7 linked regions of the Rattus norvegicus genome follow. The protein of the gene in region 1 purifies or fractionates together with the protein of each later gene. This does not show direct contact. Links are inferred from orthologs where the notes say so. Each region holds a gene or a part of one and is shown in the gene's direction. Other genes may lie near its edges. The genes, in order: Sirt1, Jun, Usp22, Ep300, Brinp1, Ect2 and Hdac2.

The links.
Region 2: the proteins of Sirt1 (region 1) and Jun purify together in Homo sapiens (affinity purification with mass spectrometry; 4 studies listed by BioGRID and IntAct, with this or other methods). This does not show direct contact. The link is inferred for Rattus norvegicus from reciprocal best matches to the Homo sapiens genes SIRT1 and JUN.
Region 3: the proteins of Sirt1 (region 1) and Usp22 purify together in Homo sapiens (affinity purification with western blotting; 10 studies listed by BioGRID and IntAct, with this or other methods). This does not show direct contact. The link is inferred for Rattus norvegicus from reciprocal best matches to the Homo sapiens genes SIRT1 and USP22.
Region 4: the proteins of Sirt1 (region 1) and Ep300 purify together in Homo sapiens (affinity purification with western blotting; 3 studies listed by BioGRID and IntAct, with this or other methods). This does not show direct contact. The link is inferred for Rattus norvegicus from reciprocal best matches to the Homo sapiens genes SIRT1 and EP300.
Region 5: the proteins of Sirt1 (region 1) and Brinp1 purify together in Homo sapiens (affinity purification with western blotting; 6 studies listed by BioGRID and IntAct, with this or other methods). This does not show direct contact. The link is inferred for Rattus norvegicus from reciprocal best matches to the Homo sapiens genes SIRT1 and BRINP1.
Region 6: the proteins of Sirt1 (region 1) and Ect2 purify together in Homo sapiens (affinity purification with mass spectrometry; 3 studies listed by BioGRID). This does not show direct contact. The link is inferred for Rattus norvegicus from reciprocal best matches to the Homo sapiens genes SIRT1 and ECT2.
Region 7: the proteins of Sirt1 (region 1) and Hdac2 purify together in Homo sapiens (affinity purification with mass spectrometry; 3 studies listed by BioGRID and IntAct, with this or other methods). This does not show direct contact. The link is inferred for Rattus norvegicus from reciprocal best matches to the Homo sapiens genes SIRT1 and HDAC2.

Annotation. Positions count from the first base shown.
Region 1 is NC_086038.1:25,308,953-25,312,452, forward strand, and holds part of Sirt1 (NAD-dependent protein deacetylase sirtuin-1), read left to right. Parts: intron 1-409; coding exon 410-651; intron 652-3,500. UniProt on the Homo sapiens protein: NAD-dependent protein deacetylase that links transcriptional regulation directly to intracellular energetics and participates in the coordination of several separated cellular functions such as cell cycle, response to DNA damage, metabolism, apoptosis and autophagy.
Region 2 is NC_086023.1:115,010,194-115,014,137, reverse strand, and holds the start of Jun (transcription factor Jun), read left to right. Parts: upstream 1-1,144; 5' UTR 1,145-2,002; coding exon 2,003-3,007; 3' UTR 3,008-3,944. UniProt on the Homo sapiens protein: Transcription factor that recognizes and binds to the AP-1 consensus motif 5'-TGA[GC]TCA-3'.
Region 3 is NC_086028.1:46,337,940-46,341,439, reverse strand, and holds part of Usp22 (ubiquitin carboxyl-terminal hydrolase 22), read left to right. Parts: intron 1-2,840; coding exon 2,841-2,988; intron 2,989-3,500. UniProt on the Homo sapiens protein: Deubiquitinase that plays a role in several cellular processes including transcriptional regulation, cell cycle progression or innate immunity.
Region 4 is NC_086025.1:115,046,857-115,050,356, forward strand, and holds part of Ep300 (histone acetyltransferase p300), read left to right. Parts: intron 1-787; coding exon 788-938; intron 939-1,049; coding exon 1,050-1,196; intron 1,197-1,464; coding exon 1,465-1,578; intron 1,579-2,394; coding exon 2,395-2,560; intron 2,561-3,500. UniProt on the Homo sapiens protein: Functions as a histone acetyltransferase and regulates transcription via chromatin remodeling. Acetylates all four core histones in nucleosomes. Histone acetylation gives an epigenetic tag for transcriptional activation.
Region 5 is NC_086023.1:87,433,081-87,436,580, reverse strand, and holds part of Brinp1 (BMP/retinoic acid-inducible neural-specific protein 1), read left to right. Parts: intron 1-791; coding exon 792-961; intron 962-3,500. UniProt on the Homo sapiens protein: Plays a role in neurogenesis and brain development. May suppress cell cycle progression in postmitotic neurons by inhibiting G1/S transition.
Region 6 is NC_086020.1:111,963,827-111,968,085, reverse strand, and holds the start of Ect2 (protein ECT2), read left to right. Parts: upstream 1-1,459; 5' UTR 1,460-1,585; exon of another isoform or gene 1,586-1,677; intron 1,678-1,718; exon of another isoform or gene 1,719-2,139; intron 2,140-4,259. UniProt on the Homo sapiens protein: Guanine nucleotide exchange factor (GEF) that catalyzes the exchange of GDP for GTP. Promotes guanine nucleotide exchange on the Rho family members of small GTPases, like RHOA, RHOC, RAC1 and CDC42.
Region 7 is NC_086038.1:42,120,127-42,123,556, forward strand, and holds part of Hdac2 (histone deacetylase 2), read left to right. Parts: intron 1-1,673; coding exon 1,674-1,814; intron 1,815-2,068; coding exon 2,069-2,177; intron 2,178-2,849; coding exon 2,850-2,980; intron 2,981-3,218; coding exon 3,219-3,374; coding exon of another isoform or gene 3,375-3,430. UniProt on the Homo sapiens protein: Histone deacetylase that catalyzes the deacetylation of lysine residues on the N-terminal part of the core histones (H2A, H2B, H3 and H4).

The DNA of each region.
Region 1 (3,500 bases):
AGTCCCCCTAACCTTTAAAATACTTAAAACATCTAAGCTTAGTCAAAATACCTAGACAGTCCAGGTAGTGGTGGCATGCACCTTTTTAATCTCTGCACTCAGGAAGCAGAGGCAGGAGAATCTCTTGAATTCTAGGCCAGCCCGATCTACAGAGCAAGTTCCAGGACAGCCAGGGCTATGCAGAGAAACCCTGTCTCAAACCAAACCAACTAACCAAGCAAAAAAACCCTTATACCTAAGCACTTCCTCCCCAAACTCTGGATTAGTCAGATTAGTTAGGGATATGACAGGAAATATCTTTAAATTATATTCTTTGCATATAAATGTATCGATTGCTACCTCATTGGTTGAAAATATAGAGCACTTCCATTAGAAGGGGATGACGGGACTCTTTCTTCCCTTAATATAGGTCCATATACTTTTGTTCAGCAACACCTCATGATTGGCACCGATCCTCGAACAATTCTTAAAGATTTATTACCAGAAACAATTCCTCCACCTGAGTTGGATGATATGACACTGTGGCAGATTGTTATTAATATCCTTTCAGAACCACCAAAGCGGAAAAAAAGAAAAGATATTAATACAATTGAAGATGCTGTGAAGTTACTACAAGAGTGCAAAAAGATAATAGTTCTGACTGGAGCTGGGGTAAGTAAGACACATGAAAACAGTAAAGAGAAAAAGCTAGTATATATTTTATTCCTTTTCCAGTTAATTTTTTTGTTTGCTTTGCTTTTGATGTAGTAGTCTTTGTTCATAAAAACTGAGGACAGCAGCATTTGCTAAACTAGTTCAGTGTTTTGAAAAGTTTAACAACTTTAAATCTTTGTATATTTATAGTACAATTGGTAAGTGGAATTACGGGGTTTTTTGTTTGTTTTAAGATCATGTGTGAGAGAGAGAAGGGGGAGAAAGGAGGAGGAGAAAGAGGAGAAACACACACACACACAGAGATTAATTGATTGATTGATTTTTGCCTATATGCATACATGTGCATGGTATGCCTGGTACCCCACAGAGGCCACAAATGAGTATTGGGTTTCCAGGAATGTGGGCCACCATGTGGGTGCTGGCAAACGTGAGTTCTCTTTAAGGAGCAGCAAGTTCTCTTTCATGGCTAGGCTCTCTCTCTAGCTCCTGGACTTGTTTGGTTTTAATTTTATGTGTATGGGTGTTTTATCTGCATGTATGCTTCTCTGCCATTGTGTGAAGTGCTTAAGGAGTCCAGAAGGCATCAGATCTCCTGAAACTGTAGTGATAGATGTTTGTGAGCCTCCAAGTCCTCTGCAAGAGCATCAAGCCACCTTTTCAACCCCTAGAGCTCTTACACACTGAATCCTGGCTCCTCAAGATGACTTAGAAAAATCAGATCCTTTTGAAGTCTGTCATAGCAAGAGTCTAGTGGAGACAGTTTTCATGGAGAAAGTAGAAACTTAATATTAGGGAGTAAGTAACATTTTTACCTTTTTCTTCATTTTAACTTTGTAAGATTGTAGAGACTTGACCTTTTTCATTTGACTTGGTCTAAAACCAAGTCGTATTCTGTGTTATATAGTATGTTAGACATTGTTAGCAGCCAGAGCAGTTTGAGCAAAGTGAAAAGTATTAAATGATGATCAAGAATCTCAGTTGTGGGGCTGGAGAGATGGCTCAGCGGTTAAGAGCACCCGACTACTCTTCCAGAGGTCCTGAGTTCAATTCCCAGCAACCACATGGTGGCTCACAACCATCTCTAAAGAGATCCGATGCCCTCTTCTGGTGTGTCTGAAGACAGCTAACAGTGTACTCATATATAATAAATGAACAAAAAAAAAAAGAATCTCAGTTGTGGGAGGCAGAGGCAGGTGGGCGTGCCTGAAGCAGGTCAGTGTGCACAGCTTCTTAGCCCCAAGTAGGGTTAGTTTGGCCTACAGGTGTGATTCAGACAAGGAGACAAGGGTTGGCTTTTTTTTTTTTTAGGGAAAAATTTGTTTTATGTTTGGGTATGTGTTGTAGTTTGTGTGCTGTGGCACCTGTGGGAGTCCGTACATCCTGAGTTGGGAGTTGCTTGTTTCCTTCCTCTGTCAGTCTTGACTTCGGACTTGGTCAGAAGCACCTTAACTGACTGCTGAGCTATTCTGTATGTAGGCTTCCAGTGTTATTCTTGAAACAGGGGCTTACTCAGGTCTGGCCTGGAACTTGGCAGAGATCCTCCCAGCTATGGGATTATTCCAGGTATGTACTACCATGCCTGGCTGGCTGGCTGGCTGGCTGGCTTTCTTTCTTTTTTTCTTTCTTTCTCTATAGCCTTGGATGATTTCAAACTTTCTTCTCTTTCTGAAGAATTGGGATTAGAGTTGTATTCCAGAGACATTTTTTTCTTTTACTCCAAGTTGAATGAATCCTGTAAATCTGGAATGAAATAAAGCTTGTCAATTCCCCTACTGGGAGTGTTAAGATTTATCTGAAGAAAAAGGATTATATCTAAAAGTTTTGTAGTTTTTATTTATTTAGAGACAGTATCACACTATGTAGCTCTGGCTAGCCTAGAACTTCCTTTGTAGACCAGGCTGACCTCAAACTTGTAGAGATATAGTCCTACTCTGCCTCCCAAATGCAAAGATTAAAGGCCAGTGTCATCATACCTGTTTATTAAAATTTATTAAGATTTGTGTACCCATGTGTAGTAACACATGCTTTTAATTCCAGCACTCAGGAGGCAGAGACAGGTGAATCTGAAAGTTGAAGTCCAGCCTGGTCTACAGAGCAAGTTCCCAGACAACCAGGGCCACACAGAGAAACCTTATCTTGAAAAACCCCCAATTTCTTTTTTAGTTTGTTTGCTGGTATGTGTGTGATGTGTATATGTGTGTATGCACATGTACGCACACACATGAGGATGTCAAGAGGACAACTTGCAAGCATTCTTACGTGTGGTTCCAGGCATCAAACAGGTGGTAGCATGGTAGCCTTTAGCTACCAAGACATCTCACTGTCTCATTGTTGTAATTTATTGTTTTCGCTGCTGGAGTTGTGAACCCAGGACTTAACCATGTGTCAGGCACAGACACTGTACAACTGACTTTATCCTTAGCCCTTTTTACATTACTTAGGGTGGCTACCTGAACTTAAGTGATCATGCCTCAGCTGTCTTAGCTCTGACTATAGACTTGTGCCACTGTTCTGGGTTTTAATCATTACAATTTATAATTAAAAATACATTCCTAGTTGGATACGGTAATGCATTTCCTTTAATCCCAGCCTAGCATTTGACTCTCAGGACCTTACTGTGCTGACGAACTTCAGCATTAGGATGTAGAGACAGGCAGATCCTTGAAGCCTAATGGCTACCCAGCCTATCTCAGATAATGAGAAGCTAGGTGTCCTATGCTTGGGGAGGCAGAGGCAGGGGTAGGGGTGTGTGTGTGTGTGTACAGTGAGATCCTGTCAAAAGACAAAAAACAACCCATAAATAAGTAAATAAATGATACATTTTTGGGCTGGAACGATGGCTCAGA
Region 2 (3,944 bases), on another chromosome or scaffold:
CTCTCAAGGCTTGTTTTCCCAGAAGCAAATCAGGGAGGGAGGAAGGGCGGGCGCGAACTGAGTGTGCGCGGGGCTGTGTGTATGTGCTAGTGCAGGCGAGCGCTGGGGTTTCCTGAGTTTCGAACCTTTATATGTTGCTTTCCATACCCCAAGGAGCCGGGGTGGCATCTTTCACACCTAGAAGGGGGTCCCTCCGAGGTAAAGCGAACCCCTCCCGGCACGTCCCCAGAAAATGAAGTGTTGTGCCGGGGACCCTGGTGAATTCATTCCGAGCACAGCAAATCTCTGGTTTCCAGCACAGCACACTGCGGCGCAGATCCTTCTCCGAAACTAAACTTCCATGCGCACTCGGCGTGGGAGGGCCACTCTCAAACCCGCTCAACTTCAACCCACTTGCCGCTCCCGCACCCGGGGCGAACACAACCATATTAACCCGCGTCGCTCTGTCTCCCGGAAGTGCGGGGGTGCGGAGCCAGCTTCAATCGCCCAGATCATTCAGCCCTTTCACGGGTGTGTTCGTGTGTTCGTGTGTGTGTGTGTGTGTGTGTGTGTGTGTGTGTGTGTGTGTGTGTGTGTGTGTGTAACCTCTACTCCCACCCAAGCCCTCCGCCCCAGGCCACCAGCGCGTCTCCCCAGCTTTCTGGATCCCCGCGTCTCGGTCTGGGTCCCCAGCCCTGAACTTGAGCCCGCCTCCGACAGACTCCGCAAGGGTCCAGCGGACCCGGCAGCCTCCGTCACTAGACAGCCAAACCAAGACGTCAGCCCACAATGCACCGGGCGGGCCGGGAAAGACGCGCCGGGGAGGGAACCCGGGAACACAAGCCGGAGCAACGCGCGGGAGGGGGAGGGAGGTGGAGAAAGAAGGGCCCAACTGTAGGAGCGCAGCGGAGCATTACCTCATCCCGTGAGCCTTCGCGGGCCCAGAGAAGAATCTTCTAGGGTGAGGTCTCCATGGCGACGGGTGGGCCCGCCCCCTTGAGAGCGACGCAAGCCAATGGGAAGGCCTTGGGGTGACATCATGGGCTATTTTTAGGGATTGACTGGTAGCAGATAAGTGTTGAGCTCAGGCTGGATAAGGACTCAGAGTTGCACTGAGTGTGGCAGAGACTGCCTAGCTGGAGAGCGCTCAGGCAGACAGACAGACGGACGGACTCGGCTAACCTGGTCGTCCGCGGACTCCGGGCTGTTCATCTGTTTGTCTTCATTTTCTGACCAACTGCCTGGATCCAGCGCCCGCAGCTCCTGCACCGGTGTTTTGGGGAGCACTTGGAGAGTCCCTTCTCCCGCTTTTCCCGGAGAAGAAGCTCACAAGTCCCGGCACTGCTGACAGCATCGAGAACGGCTCCGGACCGCGCGAGGAAATAGGCGAGCGGCTACCGGCCAGCAACTTTCCTGACCCAGAGGACCGGGAACAAGTGGCCCGGAGCGAACTTTTGCAAAACCTCTTCTGCGCCTAAGGCTGCCACCGAGACCGTAAAGAAAAGGGAGAAGAGGAACCTATACTCATACCAGCTCGCACAGGCGGCTGAAGTTGGGCGAGTGCTAGCCGCGGCTGCCTAGCGTCCCCCTCCCCCTCACAGCGGAGGAGGGGACAGTTGTCGGAGGCCGGGCGGCAGAGCCCGATCGCGGGCTTCCACCAAGAATTCCGTGACGACTGGTCTGCGCCGCCGGAGAACCTCTGTCGCTGGGGCTGGTCCGCGGGCTCCGAGGAACCGCTGCTTCCCGAGAGCGCTCCGTGAGTGACCGCGACTTTTCAAAGCTCCGGATCGCGCGGGAGCCAACCAACGTGAGTGCAAGCGGTGTCTTAACCCTGCGCTCCCTGGAGCGAACTGGGGAGGAGGGCGCAGGGGGGAGCACTGCGGTCTGGAGCGCACGCTCCTAAACAAACTTTGTTACTGAAGCGGGGACGCGCGGGTATCCCCCGCTTCCCGGCGCGCTGTTGCGGCCCCGAAACTTCTGCGCACAGCCCAGGCTAACCCCGCGTGAAGTGACCGACTGTTCTATGACTGCAAAGATGGAAACGACCTTCTACGACGATGCCCTCAACGCCTCGTTCCTCCAGTCCGAGAGTGGCGCCTACGGCTACAGTAACCCTAAGATTCTGAAGCAGAGCATGACCTTGAACCTGGCCGACCCGGTGGGCAATCTGAAGCCGCACCTCCGAGCCAAGAACTCGGACCTTCTCACGTCGCCCGACGTCGGGCTGCTCAAGCTGGCGTCGCCGGAGCTGGAGCGCCTGATCATCCAGTCCAGCAATGGGCACATCACCACTACACCGACCCCCACTCAGTTCTTGTGCCCCAAGAACGTGACCGACGAGCAGGAGGGCTTCGCCGAAGGCTTCGTGCGCGCCCTAGCTGAACTGCATAGCCAGAATACGCTGCCCAGTGTCACCTCCGCGGCACAACCTGTCAGTGGGGCGGGCATGGTCGCTCCCGCTGTGGCCTCAGTAGCTGGCGCTGGCGGCGGCGGCGGCTACAGCGCCAGCCTGCACAGTGAGCCTCCGGTCTACGCCAACCTCAGCAACTTCAACCCGGGTGCGCTGAGCAGCGGCGGTGGGGCGCCCTCCTATGGCGCGACCGGGCTGGCCTTTCCATCGCAGCCCCAGCAGCAGCAGCAGCCGCCTCAGCCGCCGCACCACTTGCCCCAACAGATCCCGGTGCAGCACCCGCGGCTGCAGGCGCTGAAGGAAGAGCCGCAGACGGTGCCGGAGATGCCGGGAGAGACGCCGCCCTTGTCCCCCATCGACATGGAGTCTCAGGAGCGGATCAAGGCGGAGAGGAAGCGCATGAGGAACCGCATCGCTGCCTCCAAGTGCCGGAAAAGGAAGCTGGAGCGGATCGCCCGGCTAGAGGAAAAAGTGAAAACCTTGAAAGCGCAAAACTCCGAGCTGGCGTCCACGGCCAACATGCTCAGGGAACAGGTGGCACAGCTTAAACAGAAAGTCATGAACCACGTTAACAGTGGGTGCCAACTCATGCTAACGCAGCAGTTGCAAACGTTTTGAGGACAGACTGTCAGGGCTGAGGGGCAGTGGAAGAAAAAAATAACAGAGATAAACTTGAGAACTTGACTGGTTGCGACAGAGAAAAAAAAGTGTCCGAGTACTGAAGCCAAGGGTACACAAGATGGACTGGGTTGCGACCTGACGGCGCCCCCAGTGTGCTGGAGTGGGAAGGACGTGGCGCGCCTGGCTTTGGCGAGGAGCCAGAGAGCAGCGGCCTGTTGGCCGCCACGCTTTGCGAACGGGCTGTGCCCGCGCGACCAGAACGATGGACTTTTCGTTAACATTGACCAAGAACTGCATGGACCTAACATTCGATCTCATTCAGTATTAAGGGGGGTGGGTGGGGGCTTACAAACTGCAATAGAGACTGTAGATTGCTTCTGTAGTGCTCCGTAAGAACACAAAGCAGGGAGGGCTGGGAAGGGGAGGGAGGCTTGTGAGTACCAGGCTAGATTGCGGATGAACTCCCCTGGCCTGCCTCTCTCAACTATGTATGTACATATATTTTTTTTTAATTTGATGAAAGCTGATTACTGTCTATAATAAACAGCTTCCTGCCTTTGTAAGTTATTCCATGTTTGTTTGTTTGGGTGTCCTACCCAGTGTTTGTAAATAAGAGATTTGAAGCATTCTGAGTTTACCATTTGTAATAAAGTATATAATTTTTTTATGTTTTGTTTCTGAAAATTTTCAGAAAGGATATTTAAGAAAACACAATAAACCATTGAGAAGTAGCCCCCAACCTCTCTGCTGCATTATCGATAGATAATGAGAGCTAGGTGAAATGACAGCTGAGTGTCTGTATGCTGGGGTGAGAGCCTGTAGTCCCTCCCGTCTGGTTGTAGGAATAGACACCCTGCATGCTATCATTGGCTCATACTCTCTCTCTCCCCAGCAACCCACAAGTCCAGACTGTTGACCAGAAGATGGTGCAGTG
Region 3 (3,500 bases), on another chromosome or scaffold:
CATACTTGTGCCTGTCGATGCCTGTCCCCTCGCTCAGGGGCGGAACCTGCTCAGGTTTGATATCAGGACCTACTGTCTAAGTAGACTCAGGCCAGGTGTTAGAACTGAAATAACTTCTTTTCCCATCCTAGAAATAGAGTGGCCCCTTCCCTGCACAGAAGCCAGCAGACAGGCCTCATCTCTTTCAGGGGTCTTTTACCACTCTGCATCCAGGCATTTTTGCTCACAGGTTGTCTGGGCTGCTTTATGTCACAGCCCAGGGTTGAGCAGTGGACAGTTACACAGTGGCTTTGCAACTGAGATGACTCAGCTGAACAAAATGAGTCCTGGACTTCACTGGGGTAAACAGCCAGTTACAATGTGACAAATGCGTCTCTCTTGATTTATTTTTTTAAACTCAGGCTTAGTAAAGTATAATTTGTATCCAGTGAAACATCCTAGTATATAGTTCTGTGAGTTGACAAATGTGAGGCACCTCCACCTTCATAGGCGACACAGGTTTTTGTCCCCAGAATTCCCATTCCCATGCATGTGACATGGATGGCTGTGTAGCACATTTCCCAAGTGTTGTGTATATGCAATATTCCACCCTTCTACTAGGTTTGCCTGTGTCTCCTTGGTGTGGCACATCAAGGTCCATGTGGGCTCTCTCTCTTGCCAAAGAACATTTCTTTTGCGGAGTGGTCATAGTGCAGTTAGTGGGGGCCTGGGTCCGACACTGCTGTGGTTTCCAGTTTTTACTGTTACAGATGTAAATGTTTCAGTATACAGGGTTTTGTGGAAAGTGTTTCTCTCCAGCACCTTGGTTAAGCTGCTGTCCTTGGTTTTCAGTGTGCAGTGTTAGTCTACTGCAGCAAGTACGTCGTGGCTTTAGTGCCGTGTGGATCTGCTGCTCGCTCTAGTCTCTAGCTGTTCATTACTAGTAGAAGTTAAACACCTTCCATCTGATAAACAAAGCCCAAAATGTTACACATTCCAACACTGTGGTTACCAATTCAATGCCACAAACAGAGAATTCCTTCCACACCTTCCCTGGTCAGTATATACTTCCTAAGTTACCTTCAGACTGTCTATTGAGTTTCTCTGGGTTTCTATTTCTAATACATGAAAACACAATATCCAGTTTTATGGGTCCTGACAGGAACTGTAGAGGTCACCAAACCAAACAAACCGTGAAAGCCTAACCGTCACAGCTGCGGGTCCAGGTAGGCGCTGACTCTGGGGTGACCATCCCAGCAGCACTTCCAGGATTGCGTTGTATGGCCTCACCTCAGCCTGATTTAACACACAACACATCCACTTTGCTCCCTGTGTCAGTGCCCGTAAGACTGCCTGAGACGCCTCAGTGACTAAGACTGTTCTGTGGTTTACTGTCCATGCAGTCTTCTGCTTTTACCAAAATGCAACGAAGCCATTTCAGAAAACAAAGGCATTGAGTATTTTCCTGCCATTTCTCAACATGTAACTATGTCTTCATATATCTCTAGATTGTGGTGTTGAATCTTTGTTTTGAAAAATTGCTGTTTGAATTGATGAACTGAGTTTCAGAGTTTTTTGGTTTTGTTTTTAAAGGCTTAGGATTAAAACGGAATTTCCCCATTTCTAAAATGGCCTTAAATGTACTTAATTTTGTACTGTGGGTTTCCATGAAGTGGCTTCTCAGGCAAAAGAAGCCCTGGTTATAATGATGATGAACTTAGGAAATGCATTCTGGTATAAATGGGTGTCTGGTTGGCTCTTGGCATTACTGTGCCGTTGATCACTTTCCTTAGAAGAGATGTATGATCCTTTTAAGAATGAACTTATAATTCTCAGTCTACAGACAGCCTTTGGATGAAGCTCGGCAGTAGACCTATTGCTTGGTATACCTGAGGCCCTGAGTTTGAGTCCCTCATTGCAAAATGGCCCAGGAGTTAGCTTTGGTTTTTTCGGGATGCAAAAGGGCTTGCAGGCTCAGGAGACTCGCTCACTTGATAGCTGTTTGCATTGGTGACAGATTGGTACTGGCAGCCATTTACAAAGCAGCAACATCAGTTGGGTGAGGAATCAGGAATGCCCCATTCCTTGAGTGTAGGGCTTATTGTACACATAGACCAATGATAAAAAGCAGCAGGATGGCCTTGAGGAAGAGATGCTGGCACAGGCTCTGCGTCCTTGCCCCGAAATCTGAACTCCGAATAGTCTGAGACCTACAACTTCTGAGCACACAAGCATTTTCAGACTGCTGGGTTCAGTAATGTCCTGGCAAGTATTCCAAACTCTGAGACATTCAATTCTTCTCGCCCAGTCATATGATATCTAGCTAGAATGCCACTTGATAAAACTCAGGTAAATAAGTAAATGTCAGCAGCTGTGTGAGGAATAGGCTCAAACACAACAGTGGCTCAGAAGGGGAAACCTGAGCTGCTCACTGGTCATATGTGTCTAACCAGGCAGGGCTCTCTGGGCTCTCCACTGCAGGAAGCATGATGTGGAAGTGAGCCTCTGGGTCTAGTGTCTCAGCAGTAGACTTCTCTTGGCTCCCTGAGCATGTGCAAGATATAAGGCCAGCTGCAGTTTGCTCATGTTCAGTGGCCCCATTGCAGCCAGACACCACCCAGGAGGGTGGGCAGGGTTTTGTGAGGCACACATTGTAGAGTGAGTCACTTGAGTTTGCTATTTGTTGTGTGGGCTTATCAGTGGAAATAAAGTGGAGGAAAGTGGGTCCACATAACAATCCAGTTTGCAAACAGAAAGCAAGTCCATTTGATCAAACTAGTCCTACCCAGTCTGCAGCTGTGATGTTTTGTATGATGAAGACTGGCAGGTGTCCTATTGTCCCTTTCCTTCTCTTTAAACAGTTTTACTCGGGGCACCGCTCCCCACACATTCCGTACAAGCTGCTGCACCTGGTGTGGACGCACGCCCGGCACCTGGCAGGTTATGAGCAGCAGGACGCCCATGAGTTCCTCATTGCAGCCCTGGACGTCCTCCACCGGCACTGCAAAGGTGGGCCTGCTACCATCTCCCTGCTAGGCTGAGGCAAGCGGGGGTTCCCATAGCAATGGTGCAGAGCAAGGCTGGTGCGCACCCAGGCAACTGTGGGAGTGTGCCTGATTGTCTCGTGTAGTCAGTATAGTCAGGTTCTGTTTCCAGTAAGGAAAACTGCAGGGTTGCTTCCAGGGAGTCCTCCACAGTGTGTTTGTTAGTGTCGGTTGGTTTGGGGTATTTGGAAGCAAGGTCTCACTGCGTAGCTAATACTGGCCTAAAGCGGTAGTCCTCTTGTCTCAGCCCCGAGTGAGTGCTGGGATTACAGGTGGGGATCTGTACAAGAGGAAAGATCCCAGAGTCAGTGCGCTGGTGTACACACCTACAGTCCCGCACCCAGTGGCAGAGGCAGGCAGATCTTCTGCCAGTTGAAGGTCAGCCAAAGAAATACCTTACCCTGTCAGGAGAGATCTCTTCTGGAATGACTCTTCATAGAGTATTGGTGTTCCTGCCTCTGCTGAGTGGATGTGGAC
Region 4 (3,500 bases), on another chromosome or scaffold:
CTTTAAAAATTATAAATAGCTGGGAGGTGGTGGCACACACCTTAAATCCCAGCACTTGGGAGGAAGATGCTGGCAGATTTCTGAGTTTGCAGCTGGCCTGCCCTGTCTTTAAAATTATATATTATATATATATATATATCCTGAATCTTAGTGAAAATGAAACTAGCCAAAATTAATGAATTTTAACTGTTTATAACAAGTGTTGTGGTGCACACCTCTAAGCCCTGTACTCGGGAGGCAGGCGGACCTGAGTTTGAGGCCAGCCTCATCTACATAGTTGAGCCCCTCTTTCAAAAGAGAAAAAGAGATTTAGCTAAAATAATTCTGTAGCATACTGAATATTGAACTATTAAAATTGCTGAAATTTGGGGTTGGGGATTTAGCTCAGCGGTAGAGCGCTTGCCTAGCGAGCGCAAGGCCCTGGGTTTGGTCCCCAGCTCCGGAAAAAAAAAAAAGAAAAGAAAAAAATTGCTGAAATTTTTAATGCATTTTTCCCCTATATTTTTCCTATTCTGGCACATAATCATAATGTGGGGCACATGTAAAAGTGATTGACTAGAATCACGGTAGAATTAATTTACAAACACCTTCTAGCATTACCTAATACTTTGTGTTGAGAGATAAGATATCAGTTACCTTACTATATTGAAAAAACAAATACATCAGGTTGGTTGACCCTGTCAGTATTGACAGGAAATTTCAGCCCCAGTAACTTCACTCCTGCTCTTTGACATTAGGAATGTATAGAAGGCCACACCTTGGTGACTTGTAACTTTCATATTTCTAGGATTGCCTTCTACCAGACTTGGGACCTTTCTGGAGAATCGAGTGAATGACTTTCTGAGGCGACAAAATCACCCTGAATCAGGAGAGGTCACTGTTCGGGTTGTTCATGCTTCTGACAAAACTGTGGAGGTGAAACCAGGCATGAAAGCAAGGTGTCTAGTAATCTCCCATTCACTTCTTACAGACCTACAACTGTGCACACTGGTTATTGTTGATTTCAACCTTCAATGATTTGTGTTTTCCTTTTAATCTGGATTATGTAGGTTTGTAGATAGTGGAGAGATGGCAGAATCTTTTCCATATCGAACCAAGGCCCTGTTTGCCTTTGAAGAAATTGATGGTGTTGACTTGTGTTTCTTCGGCATGCATGTTCAAGAATATGGCTCTGACTGTCCCCCTCCCAACCAGAGGTAGGACTCTATGTGACCAACCTCTCATTTGGGATTGGGTTCATGTTATAACTAGTAGAAAAGCACATTGGGCAGAAACAGGATGGTGCGCATAGCATGTATTAGGTCAATCATACACGGAAGCCAAGGCCAACCCAGGTCCCCATAGTCACACCTGTGATTTCCCTATGATAGTTAGAAGTAAAAAGAACACAGGAAAGAATGGTGATGTCTTTAGCCAAGTAAATAATGATACGTAATGAAACATTTTTCTTTGTTTTTAATATAGGAGAGTATACATATCTTACCTCGATAGTGTTCATTTCTTCCGTCCTAAATGCTTGCGGACTGCAGTCTATCATGAAATTCTAATTGGATATTTGGAGTATGTCAAGAAATTAGGGTAAGCATATTAAAAAGTGATATGTTGTAGAAAATGTGTAAGTATATATTTTGGCTTTCTCATGTTGGTTTTGATATAGTGAAGCCATGACCTCAATTTCTTAGATCTTCTATGATATAAAGATGATATCACCATGTGTTAACTAATAAATTAATCCATTAGGTCTGTTTTGTTGAAACCATTAGTATTATTCATTTGAAAATGAGAAATATTTCCTTGATCCTTTTATAATTGAGTATAAATAATGAAAACAGGCTGAATGTGATGGTATACACTTAGAGTCCCAGCATACAAGAGGCCTGGGCTAGAGGGTACAAGTTCATTCATAAGTTTAGATATGAAACTAGCCCTAGCTTTAAATTCAAGTCCATACATCCTGGAGAGTACTTGCCACCTTCCACTTAATTTGTTAGATGGCTTTCATCTCTTCTTTGACCTTAAAATACAGATTTGAGGGGGCTGGGGATTTAGCTCAGTGGTAGAGCGCTTACCTAGGAAGCGCAAGGCCCTGGGTTCGGTCCCCAGCTCCAAAAAAAAAAAAAAAAAAAAAACAGATTTGAGGATTTAGGATCAAGAACCAAGCCCCTCTATAAATGAAATTCACAACCTTCCTCCATGGCCTTTCAAAACAAGTAGGTAGTGTGAGAACTATTAGAGCAGATGCTCCAGGTCTTGTTGAGAGTGAGCATTTCTGTCCTTGTCCATGGTGTACTGTGTGCAGGGATTTGCACCTGTATCCTCCACAACCCTAGGAAGGTTACTATAGCTTTCTCGAACACGAATTATTTCTTGATGTCCTTCTCTTTGTGTTTTTAGATACACAACAGGGCATATCTGGGCCTGTCCACCAAGTGAAGGAGATGACTATATCTTCCATTGCCATCCACCCGATCAGAAGATACCAAAGCCCAAGCGCCTGCAAGAATGGTACAAAAAGATGCTTGACAAGGCTGTGTCAGAACGCATTGTCCATGACTACAAGGTCAGTTAGAACATAGAAATGTACCAGTCTACTATCTTCTGTCTTCTCTTTTGATAAGTCTTGTTCGGTCTTAGAACATGTAATTGTTATGTTAATTCGTTAAAGTTTCTTTTTAATACATAAAATTCCAAATATAGAAAGGCTAGGTGTTAGGTGATTTACAGATGAGCAAAGTAGTGCTTGCCTAAAATCTCACTCTGGAAATTAAGGCAGGATGACTCAGAGTTCACACGTGTCGTGGGGGTCTGGAGAAATGGATCAGCAGTTTAGAGCAGTTGCTCTTGCAGAGGACCCAGATTTGATTCCCAGCACCCACATGGTTGTTCACAGCCATCCTTGGCTCTAATTCCAGGTGATCTGACTGACTTCCCTTTTTTGGCCTCTGTGGGCATCAGGTGCACACATGGTGCACACATGTGCTGTATGCAGGTCGAATGCTTTTACATATAAAGTAAAGTAATAAATCTAACATTTAATAGCTGAATCTATCATGGGTAGGATATGGTTGTACATGTCTTTACTAGCAGTGGATAGGCAAAAGCAGGTAGATCTCTTGAATTTGAAGCCCGACTCATCTATATAGGGAATTGCAGGCCATCTTGGGCTAAGTAGGAACACTTTGTCTCAAAAAAGAAAGAATTGGGTATGGTAATTTCATGTGTTTAATTCCAGCATTCAGGAAACTGAAGTATATAGATCTCTGGGAGTTCTGAGGAGACCAACCAATCTGCTTTACATAGTGGGCTGTGTATATAGTGAACCAAGGGTAGATAGTGATCCCCTCTCTAAAAGAAAGAAGGAAATACATTGTGATAAATTAGTGACATTTTCATTTTTGCCATATAATGAAAGCTTTTTAAAAACAGAAAGCCAGCTGGTTGGTTGTGGTGCATGTGAATTCCTTTAGTCCCTACAGAGGTAGGCAGATCTCTGTGAGTTT
Region 5 (3,500 bases), on another chromosome or scaffold:
CTACTTGCTGAAAACATCTAGAGTTTTTCACAATCTTACATTGAAATAGATTACTAGCACATCCAATACCATAATACCTTGGTAGTATTAGGAATCTATATATGAATTTCTAGGAAAATTCATGAAAGAAAATCTATAAGTTCATATAGTCATATTTATATCTGTAAGATAGATTTTATTTATAACTTAATTTCACTGCTCCATTCATCAATCATCTAAAAAGTCTCTATCTCTCTATCTCATTCCTTCTCTCTCCATACAACCACCTAAGAATTTACCTGTCTATTCACTCCCTTTCCTGTATCTGTCTATTATTACTCTACATATCTATTACCTGGATTGGTCTATCAATAAATGAGTACACTGAGAATAAAAAAAGGATGGATATGAAGAAATGATAAGGAAATGGTAGCAAAAATGAAAAGGAAGAATTAAGTTGTATTGAAACAGAAGGAAAAATACAAAGAAAAGGTATCTATGCCAAATCAATCATAAACGTTCTTAGAACTAGAGAATTTCATTAGGTAAGACAAGGCCCTTGAAATACATGAACAGGTTTATTTGGAAATGAACTGTGATTGCTGTTCATTATTTGATGGTCATTGCTTTAATGGGATCTATAACAACTCTGGATTACATCTTCTGCACTGTGCCCTTGATTTTATGGGTACAGGGATATTCAGACTGCTTGGTTGGAGTATATGTCTGTCTTCAGCATCCCAACTCCGGAATCCCTCATCCCACACTGAAATTGGAATAACCTTTCTCATCTTCTGTTCTTTCCCCTGCAGGAGAGGAGGCTTTGACCATGTACATGGACAAAAGTCGCCTCGACCGGAAGTCAGGAAATGCTACCCAAAGTGTTGAAGCTTTGCACCAGCTTGCATCATCCTACTTTGTCGACCGTGATGGCACCATGAGAAGGCTCCATGAGATCCAGATTTCAACTGGAGCAATCAAGGTACAGCCTTAGGGTGTACTTAGATTCTCAAGAAAACAGAACCACGATAGAGACAATCTGAAAGCAGATAGCAAACATACTTTGCTTCACCCACCACTCATATCGATCTTACCAAATCTCTTAGAAAACGAGTGTCTTCATTAGGATGGCCTTATCTAGTGACTTATAAATATATTTTGCTATGACCATTGTTGAATTAACTATAGTGCTGTCCGTGTATGTTAAATAGATGATTTTATGGACAACTACTCACTTGTGAATGAATACTCAGCCATCCTGCTCACGGATCACTGTTCATTTGCACTAACACTGCCCACAGAACCTTCCGAGATACTGGAAATACCTCTATCTTTACTGGCCAGGAAGTGGGTTTAGTCACATGTGATTAGCGAACACTTGACTATGTCTACAGAGGAAATACCTTTGTAAGTCGATTCGATTCTAACTAATTCAAAGTCAAGGAGACACGTTGACTATATTAGCTCTGGACTATCAAGTCAGTGGCTTTCAGTACAGGAAATTTAAGATTCCATTTCCAGTACAGGGAGTTTAGAGATGACCTCTACAAAGAAAGTGCGGGAGGACATTCTTCTTGAAATAAGGAATTAATTCGTCAGAGGATATTTTTCTCTGTCCTAAATTTTCTTAAACTTGATTATGGCTACATTTTCCATCTCCGTCTTTGCTCTAACTTCTGAGTAAAATGTACATCTTGTCTCATATTAAAAATCTCTAAGACATCACTAGAGAGAAGAGACAGAGGGGGAAGGTCAAGTTGGACTCAGGCAGCTTAAATCAGAAATTGATCATTAGTAGAAAAACCTGTGAGCGGAGGAGAACCTGACTGGGGAGGAGGGTAGCAAGGAGAGGAATGAATCAGTTCAACAAACAAAGGACTAGCTTATCCAGGAAGAATCCTCTATATTGGGGGTATTATGTTATTAAAGAGTTTGGCACTAGAGACAGATCTTTATGAAGCCATGAGAGTCTGGTAGCGGCAAAGGATTGGTTTTCATTATTGCCAAGTAGTTCTCTACCCCCAGATGAGGTATAGAATTGACATATTGAAGCCCTGTCAGGAGATAATCCTCTTCTGTGCATCCTGGAATGTGCAGCCTGCCTCTTTAGGAGGGATTTCTCAAACAAATTGCACAGAGGCCTCTCAATGAGCCAGTTTTACACTAACGCTGGCTTCTATGTGCAATTTGGCTCTGGGAAGTTTTTTTTTTGGTTTTTGTTTTTGTTTTCCTGTTTGCTTGAAGCTATCTCAGGACTCACAACACTTGAACATGCCTCACTGCTAGATTTGAAGAAAGCCAGCCTATGACCCAGATAAAGTAACTATAGTAAAATAAGTTAGTAATGTTAAGTCTTACTCAATGAGAAGCATACTATTATTCAGCATAAACAGAAGGAATTATTTGAAAGAAAGAAAGAAACAAACATTGGGCAGCTGGTAAAGGTGCGTACTGCATATACCTGATTACCTGAGTTTGATCGCCTCCTATTCAAATAAAGGTTGAAGGAAGAGAACAAACTCCACAAAGTTGCCCTCTGGTCAATATATGTATTGTGTGAGATGCATGCTTCCAATTACATAATATGACCATATGGAGAGGTAAATATGCACATTGATGATGATGACACCATGTTGATGATGATGCAATATTAATAATAATAACCTGAAAACTATAATCACTTTATTTCTTTACATAAAAGCACTGCTAAATTTACAGAAAATGGAAGCTAGAGACTGAGGAAGGACAAGATACCAGCCTACATGTATAAGATGCTCTGTATCTTCCCACAAGTTGGCTTTCCCTTCAGTGGAGGCTGTGCTTTTACAGTTGAACACACACTTCAGCTCAAAAGAATGGGGAGTAAGGGAAGGGACCATTATATATAAAACCATTTTAATTTCATGGCTATTTTCATTCCATACAGAGGTTCCTTTGTGTCGCCATCTTGAATCTTGGAAGACAAAGTTACAAAGACACGATAGATAGATTCTAGATTTATTTATTCATTAATCCTGTAGTGGCACTCATTGGAGTTATTGCTGAACCTTCTTTTAAAACTGGAGACAATTGTACTGTTTTTGCCTGATAATGGTACCTGTGTACTCACTGCCATTTATAGGGGCATTTTGTAACCAGCGGTCATTTCTGAAGACTCCCTGTGCCAGGCACTTGAAGTTTTCACATGTGTCCCCCATTGATAGCTTGAGCTTGGTTACACTTAGAGGAGTTAAGTGACTTCCTTATGTCATATGGCAAATTAATGATAGTGGTTTTTATTTTTTCTGATTTTGAAGTCTAGGCTTGAGAATTCCATATTTGTGGTTCAATGTATTCATTCATTCATTCATTCATTCATCCATTCAACACCTAGCGTGATACTGTGAAGTGAGAAGTGGTGGTAGACAGTGGACATTATGGATCCAGTCTGTGTATTTGGTCATCTTTAATGTCCTGTCTGCTTATTCTGAGACACACATTCCCAGGCACAGGCCAGACATCTGCCAGTTGTGCAATCAATT
Region 6 (4,259 bases), on another chromosome or scaffold:
CTGATGATCTCAGTTCCTGCACTCAGACCCCACATTCTCATCCAACAGATTGGGAAGCTTGTTCTCCTCGGGCGGTGCACAAAGGAAACAGCACTGAGGCCGTCAGCTTAAAGTACTTTAGTGAGGAGAATGTTTGGAATGCCAGACACACCCAAGCTTAAACTGCAAACACACTCCCGTTGGCAATTTCAAGGCTGATTTTTTTCCCTCTTTCTTCCGCTCTAATGGCTAATTCTAGAGACTGTCAGGCCATAGATAATGTTAAGCAGAAAACAAAACAAAACAAAAACAACCAACCAGACAAAGACTGTAGACTGTTTTACTCATTCTATGAACTCGCCATACACTTGTCAAGCTCCTAAGGTTGTCAAGAAGTTCTTTTTGTTTTTAAAGTAGATCTTGGGCTGGTGGGTTGGCTCAGTGGTTAAAAGCACTTCTTACTCTCACAGAGGACCTGGGTTTAATTCCCAGCATCCACATGGTGGTTCATAATCCTCTAATTTCAGTCCCTGGGAATGGATCTGGCCTCCTCCTTACCTCCAAGCACTCACAAGATGCACACACACACACACATCCAGGGAAAATAATACAGACACATATAATTAATAAATCTAAATTTAAAAGGTGGTTTTAAAACCTCTTATTGAGGTTTGGGGCGTAGCAACAGATCCAACCACTTGGTAGGGTTCGGTTTTGAAAGTAAAAAAATAACTGTTTTGAGACAGGGTCTCCTGTGCAGACCAGGCAGATCTTGTTCTCCACTTCCAGCGCCATCCTCCTTAGTAAGTGGGGTCACAGGATTTGAAACCACACCCAGCTAGAAGTGTATGTTTAAGAGATTGTATTATAGAACATTACATCTAGAAACAATTTTCAGAATAGAAATATCGAAAAAAAAAACCTGATCATTTCTTTTCTAGACTTCAAAGGTCACTAACATTCTTATGCTGGGGATTGGAGGTGGGGCCTGGGGAGAAGGAGCAAGCCACCCAGAAGCAATTTTGCATCAGGGGATTCTAAAATCTCCTTACACTTTTTTTTTTTTAGTTACTTAGATGCAAGCTTGTCTCCAAATATAAAATCTGGGAAGTGGTAAGAGCCGAATGGTTTGCGGTGCTTGTTACTTTTCTTGAAGTTGGAGGTGATGGTAGAGACTGAGCCTCGGGAAACTGGCTGTTTACTGAGTAAACAAGCGGTCACCACAGAAACACCTGCTACGTCTAGAGGCGCTCCGAGGCCACGCCCCCCTCTCGCCCACATCCGGGCATTTCGCTGACGTCCACACGCTCCAGCCGTTTAGCTTATTTGAAACACACGCATAGCCAATCAGCCGGCGCCTCCTGGAGGCGGTCGTTGAGATTGACCAATAAGCAGTCCGCCAGAGACTCCAGCCTATCAAAAGGAGGTTGACAAAGCGCGCCAATCAGCATGGCTCTGAGAGAGAGCGTCTGGGTTTTTTGAATCGGAGGCGGTAGCCTCCTTCGAGCCATGGCGGCCCCAGTGAGGAGACTCAGTGTTTGAGAAGGTTAAGCGAGGACTGCGCCGCAGTGGTTCATTTTTCTTTTTTTTAAAATATCTGAACGTGGTGAGGACTGCGGGGTGAGTGGGGGACGGGAAGGGATTCGAGTGCCCGGAACTGCACCGGCCGTGGGGACCAAGGCCGGCGTCCCCGCCGCGGTGAGCCCCCACGGCTGCGTACCTGTCTGTACCGCTCCCTTTCATCCTCTTCCCTCACATCCGCCTCCTTTCCTGTCGTCTGTTCTGGCCCCGGTTTTTCCTTGCGGGAATCTGGGTTCTATTCTGCTTCTGTCAGGCGCCCCAGGGTGAAGGGCGCAGTTGGGACAGCGATTTTGGCTTCCTGCTTGCCCTTCCGCCCGCTCGCTGCAGCCCAGAGCTGCCCTGATTGTTTTGTGGTTTCCCTCTGGAATTCCTGCAGAATTCCGATTTTCGATTTTTTTAAAATATAAAACACAGGCCGCTCCGCCCCTTCCTGGCCACAGATGTGTGTGGTTAGTGGTTAACTTAGCGCCCTCAGAGTTAGACCCGGCTTGGAGTCTCTGTGTGAACAACTTTCTTAGCCACAAACTGGATATGGCAATGATATTTGTCTTTTAGGATGGCTGCAAAGGTTAAATAATGGTAAGGGGGAGATTTAAGATAGTGGCTGTAAAATAGTGAGCTTTAAGTAAATGAAATCGCTAATTAACACCATTATCAACGTATTCAAAACTATTGTAGTTTTGTCTCTTTACTCTGGATGACTTTTTTATGGAAAAAAAGTTTATTTAAAAGAAAAGCTAAAAATGACTTTATTTAAAAGAATCCATGTGTTGTGAGACAGGGTCTTAGGTATTCCAGAATAGGCTTGAATTGTGGAGCCAATGGTGACATAAAACTCCACCTGCCTCTACCTCCTCCCCGATGTACTTTCACCTTGCTTGGTTTTGAGGTGCCCGAGGATGACCTCATGCATGCTACGCTGAGGCACATTCCAAGACAAAGATGTGTTCTTTTTATGATCAGATTGTTGTGTTTATTTTTAAAAAGCCTCTAGAATGTGTGAAAAGGAAGAAACTGGTGCATTTCAGTTTGCAGTGATGTTGGGTGCTAGATGTATCATTAGTGTGCCCTGTAGCTCTTTTGCTGTATATTTTGAAAATAGATAATAATATGCATTTTCACTGTTTTGGTGCATAGTGAGAAAGGGTTTAGTTGTGTACTCCTGCCTGTTGTGTGGGTGCTGGAACTTTAGGCTTGTGCCACTAGGCAACACATTATCAGTCAACTGGCAATTTTAAAGAGGGTCATGTAAGCTGAAGTATTGTTGAAAGTGCATTGTAAAGCTCTGGCACGTAGTTTACACATAAGTATAGACTCTTATTTTGACTTTTTTTTGGTGGGGGGCGGTCTGGGAGATTGAACTCTGAATCTTTCCAGGCTTTACCACTAAACTCCACCTCCAGCCCTAGTCTATTTTAGTACATTTATACCCCTGTAATGCTTAGGTCAAGGTCATGCCCATATCACTGTAAGCATTTATCCTTTTACTGGAGATGTTCAAAGTCCTTTCTACTAACCTTTAAGTTAGGAATTGGAGTTTCTTAGGTGACGTTTTAGTCTAGATTAAGCAGTGTTCTACTGACCATTTCATTAATTATTTTTGGCTTTTTTGAGACGAAGTTTCATGTGACTCCTCCAGCTCCTGTGGTCCTTTTGATTTGTTAAAATCTCTGATCCTATCTTGGCTTTGTGAACATTTAATCCCAATTCTCAGGAGTGTTGGCACAGGAGGATTGACCATGAGTTTCCTAGCAGCTTGGAGTGCAGAATGAAATCAGGCCAGCAAGGATTTCGAGATCCTGTCTCAAAGGAACATGGGTCAATCAAATCAAATTCCCCTCCAGTCCTTAAAGCTGAGCAGCTCACCCTTTCTCCCTTTTTCCTTCTCCTCACCAGCCTCTTGTAAAATTAATTACTTAACTTTTTAAAAAAGATTTATTTACTTATTATATATAAGTACACTGTAGCTGTTTTCAGACACACCAGAAGAGGTCATTGGATTCCATTACAGATGGTTGTGAGCCACCATGTGGTTGTTGGGAATTGTACTGAGGACCTCTGGAAGTGCAGTCAGTGCTCTTAACTGCTGAGCGTCTCTCCAGCCCTTAATTAACTTTTAAAATTAATTTACATCTCAACCACAATATCCCTCCTTCCTCTTCTCCCAGGCCTTCTCCCACCCTATCCACTCCTCCCTTTCTCTTCTGAAAAGCGGAGGCCTCCCATGGATATCAACTGACCAAATCAAGTTGTAGCAAGACTAGACAACTAGAGGAAAGGTTCTCAAAGGCAGCAGCAGTCAGATAGCCCATGATTCCCCTATCCCCCTTTTTGAACCAGGGTCTTATTCTGAGTTTTGGGGTAAAAGGTGTGTACCGTACTGGACTCACTCTCTTATTCTGTAACACAGACTGGCCTCTAATTCACAGTAATCCTCTTGCCTTAAGGCCTTCTTAGATGATGTTTACTACCATGTTTAGCTTTTTCCTTTTTTTAAAAAAAAATTTTTTTTTAAAGATGTGTTTATTTATAATACATTGTAGCTGTCTTCAAACCCACCAGAAGAGGGCATCAGATCTCATTACAGATGGTTGTGAGCCATCATGTGGGTGCTGGGATTTGAACTCAGGACCTCTGGAAGGACAGTCAGTGCTCTTAACCACTGAGCCATCTCTCCAGCCCTGGCTTTTTCCTTTTTT
Region 7 (3,430 bases), about 17 Mb from region 1:
AGTTCCTCCCCTCAGAGCCGAAGACCGTGCTCTGCCAGTGAGCTGTGCCCGGTGTGTACTGTCAGGTGATAACTGACAGTTTCTAATGTACCTCTGTGACTGACTTCAGCCGCATTCTCTCAGGCCTCGTGAAGGAAGTGAGGCGGTCAGCTGCTGTCCACCTCACTTCTCAGTTATTTCTTCTTATGCTGTTATTATTTCTTAATTATTTCCATGCTTCCTCTTACAGGCCCTCTAGCCTTCATTTCATAAATCCCCCCCTTTTTGCCTGCTGTTGGGTGGTTGAACGCTGGTCTTGTCTGCTCTCTTTCCTTGTAGTCTGTAAGTTAACTTCTGTCCTTAGAAATGTCCAGTAACACTGTTTTAGTAGATGATGTCTGGTTGATAACATGAAGAAAACAGATAATTAGACACTGTAAACTCTCATTAGGTAATGGGGTTTTTTTTTCTCTTGTGCAATTTTAATTTTTTCCAAATATTTTAAGCTTTGTTATAAAAATGTTAGAAAAACAAAACAAGCAACAGAACCTCACACTGAAATTAACTGGACCCAAAGATTCAATGGCTTCTATGCTTGTGGCAGCCAGCATCTCAATACCAAGTGAAAGCCTGCTGCAAAGGGACTTTTTTATTTTAATTAAGGCTAAAATCCATGAAGAGAATGTGGGGGGGGGGTGGGGAATGGATGAATTTCTGCTGTCAGCATTGAGGGACTTTGTTTTTTGTTTTTTTTTTTTTTTTTTTTTTTTTTTTTTTTTTTTTTTTTTTTTTTTTTTGGTTCTTTTTTTCGGAGCTGGGGACCGAACCCAGGGCCTTGCGCTTCCTAGGTAAGCGCTCTACCACTGAGCTAAATCCCCAGCCCCTTTTTTTTTTTTAAGAATTATTTATTTATTTCATGTATGTGAATACACTGTAGCTGTCTTCAGACACACCAGAAGAGGGCATCAGATCTCACTACAGATGGTTGTGAGCCACCATGTGGTTGCTGGGAATTGAACTCAGAACCTCTGGGAGAGCAGTCAGTGCTCTAACCACTGAGCCATCTCTCCAGCCCCTGAGGGACTGTAATGATGGCATTGTGTGCCTGAATGATAATACCACCAGAAGTTACTGGTAACTCAAAACTTGTTCCTATGTGAGGTTTGTAATTAAGTAAATTAAGAAAATTATCCATAATACCAGCACCTAAAGATAGTCAGTGGTCAAACTTTTTGGTATTGCCTTCCGTAGTTAAGCTACACATGTCATATAGGAGAAACAAAATTTAGCATCTGTGTAGTGTCTTCTCTCCCTTACCCTTATGTGACCTCTCATGAGCATCCTGTGTTGCTAGTAAAATACATGTGTGTGTGTTTTAATACTTAACACGAGTTATTTGTTGGATACAGTCCCTGTCATCACCCCTGTCATTGTCTCCCCCATCCCCCACCTTGGGGTGAGGTGGCCTGCCCTGTAGTCATGCTGTATGGTCTAGCCTGGCCTCCAGATTCTGCGCCACTTACCTTACCTTAGCTTCCCAAGAGCTGGGACTGTTGGGATGGGCCACTCTGCCTGGCTGTCTACAGACCCTTTTTTTTGGTTGAGTAAAATTGTTTGTAATTATCCTTTTTAAGGTCCTATTTTAAATTGCTAAAGAATATATTTCAATGTTACCCAAATCTTCTTCGTCGTAGGTCACGCTAAATGTGTAGAAGTAGTGAAAACTTTTAACTTGCCGTTGCTGATGCTTGGCGGAGGTGGCTACACAATCCGGAATGTTGCTCGATGTTGGACGTATGAGACTGCAGTTGCCCTTGATTGTGAAATTCCCAATGGTAGGTGTTCAGGTTGCAGTATCTAGAAGAACATGCAGTGTGTGGAAATGGATGAATGGGAGGGTCTGCAGCCACACCCCTGGAATGTATGATCTCCTCTGACGGCTGAATGGTTAGAGTGCGAATCTGTGAGAACATTCCATGCTCACTCTCAAGCTTCCTTTGGGAATAGTTCTTTTACCTGGATTATGATTCTGAGTTTATTTGGAAACTAAGCTTTCAATGTGTAACTTGCTTTTCATTGTTTTTAATAGAGTTGCCATATAATGATTACTTCGAGTATTTTGGACCAGACTTCAAACTGCATATTAGTCCCTCAAACATGACAAACCAGAACACTCCAGAATATATGGAAAAGATAAAGTAAGAAATCATTTCGCCTTAATGAAGTTTCAGGAGGCTATAGAAGGTCAAATAAAGGAAACTTTTAGATACATGAGATATTCTCTTTGTTTTAATATGATTTGAAACCTTAAGGATATTTGTGGTTTTAATCTAAAATAATAACACAAATATGTAACCTTTGTAAATAGAAACTTTTTTTTTAAGATTATTTATTTATTATATATAAGTACACTGTATCTGTCTTCAGACACACCAGAAGAGGGCATCAGATCTCTTTACAGATGGTTGTGAGCCACCATGTGGTTGCTGGGAATTGAACTCAGGACCTCAGGAAGAGCAGTCAGTGCTCTTAGCCACTGAGCCATCTCTCCAGCCCAATAGAAACATTTTTATTAGATCAAGTGCTTTCTGTCTACAGAATGTAGAAATGGTGAGCGGAATGGGCTGTGTCTTCTCGCCCGTAGACAGTTGTAGGACATGGACAAGTGCTCTTGTTGCCTCATCCGTCAGATGGGGTGAAGTGAAGCATAGCTGTGTGCTGTGGGGTCAGCCGTGTGTGCAGTGATCGATGCTCCACTAGTGTCCCATTCCGCGGTTAGCTAAATGGGAACTTGTTTTTGTTTAGTTCCTCCTCTGTCTAACAGGAACTTTGCATACAGTGGATTTTGTCTAATAAATTGTGTCGTTTAGACAGCGTTTATTTGAAAATCTGCGAATGTTACCACATGCGCCTGGTGTTCAAATGCAAGCTATTCCAGAAGATGCTGTTCATGAAGACAGTGGTGATGAGGATGGAGAAGACCCTGACAAGAGAATTTCTAGTAAGAAACTCCTTCACAGCACATGTTGTGATTCTCCTTTTCTCCATTTAATAACGTGAGATTTAGCTTCCTGATGTCTCAAAGCCTGAATTAATATCACCCTTCATTTTGTGTGACTACACAAACATGGCTGCATCCAGAAAGTAGGCACTTGATATCTATCAATATCTATCTACCTTATGTAATGATTGTAGAACCTCTGGCTATTACCAAATTAATAAAAATGTTTGTGTCCCAGTTCGAGCATCAGACAAGCGGATAGCTTGTGATGAAGAGTTCTCAGATTCTGAGGATGAAGGTGAAGGAGGTCGTAGGAATGTCGCTGATCATAAGAAGGGAGCCAAAAAAGCCAGGATTGAGGAAGACAAGAAGGAGGCGGAGGACAAGAGGACAGGTCCGTCTGTGCTGGTGACGCTCCTTTTCACTGCTTACGGGTGCACTGTATCTTTA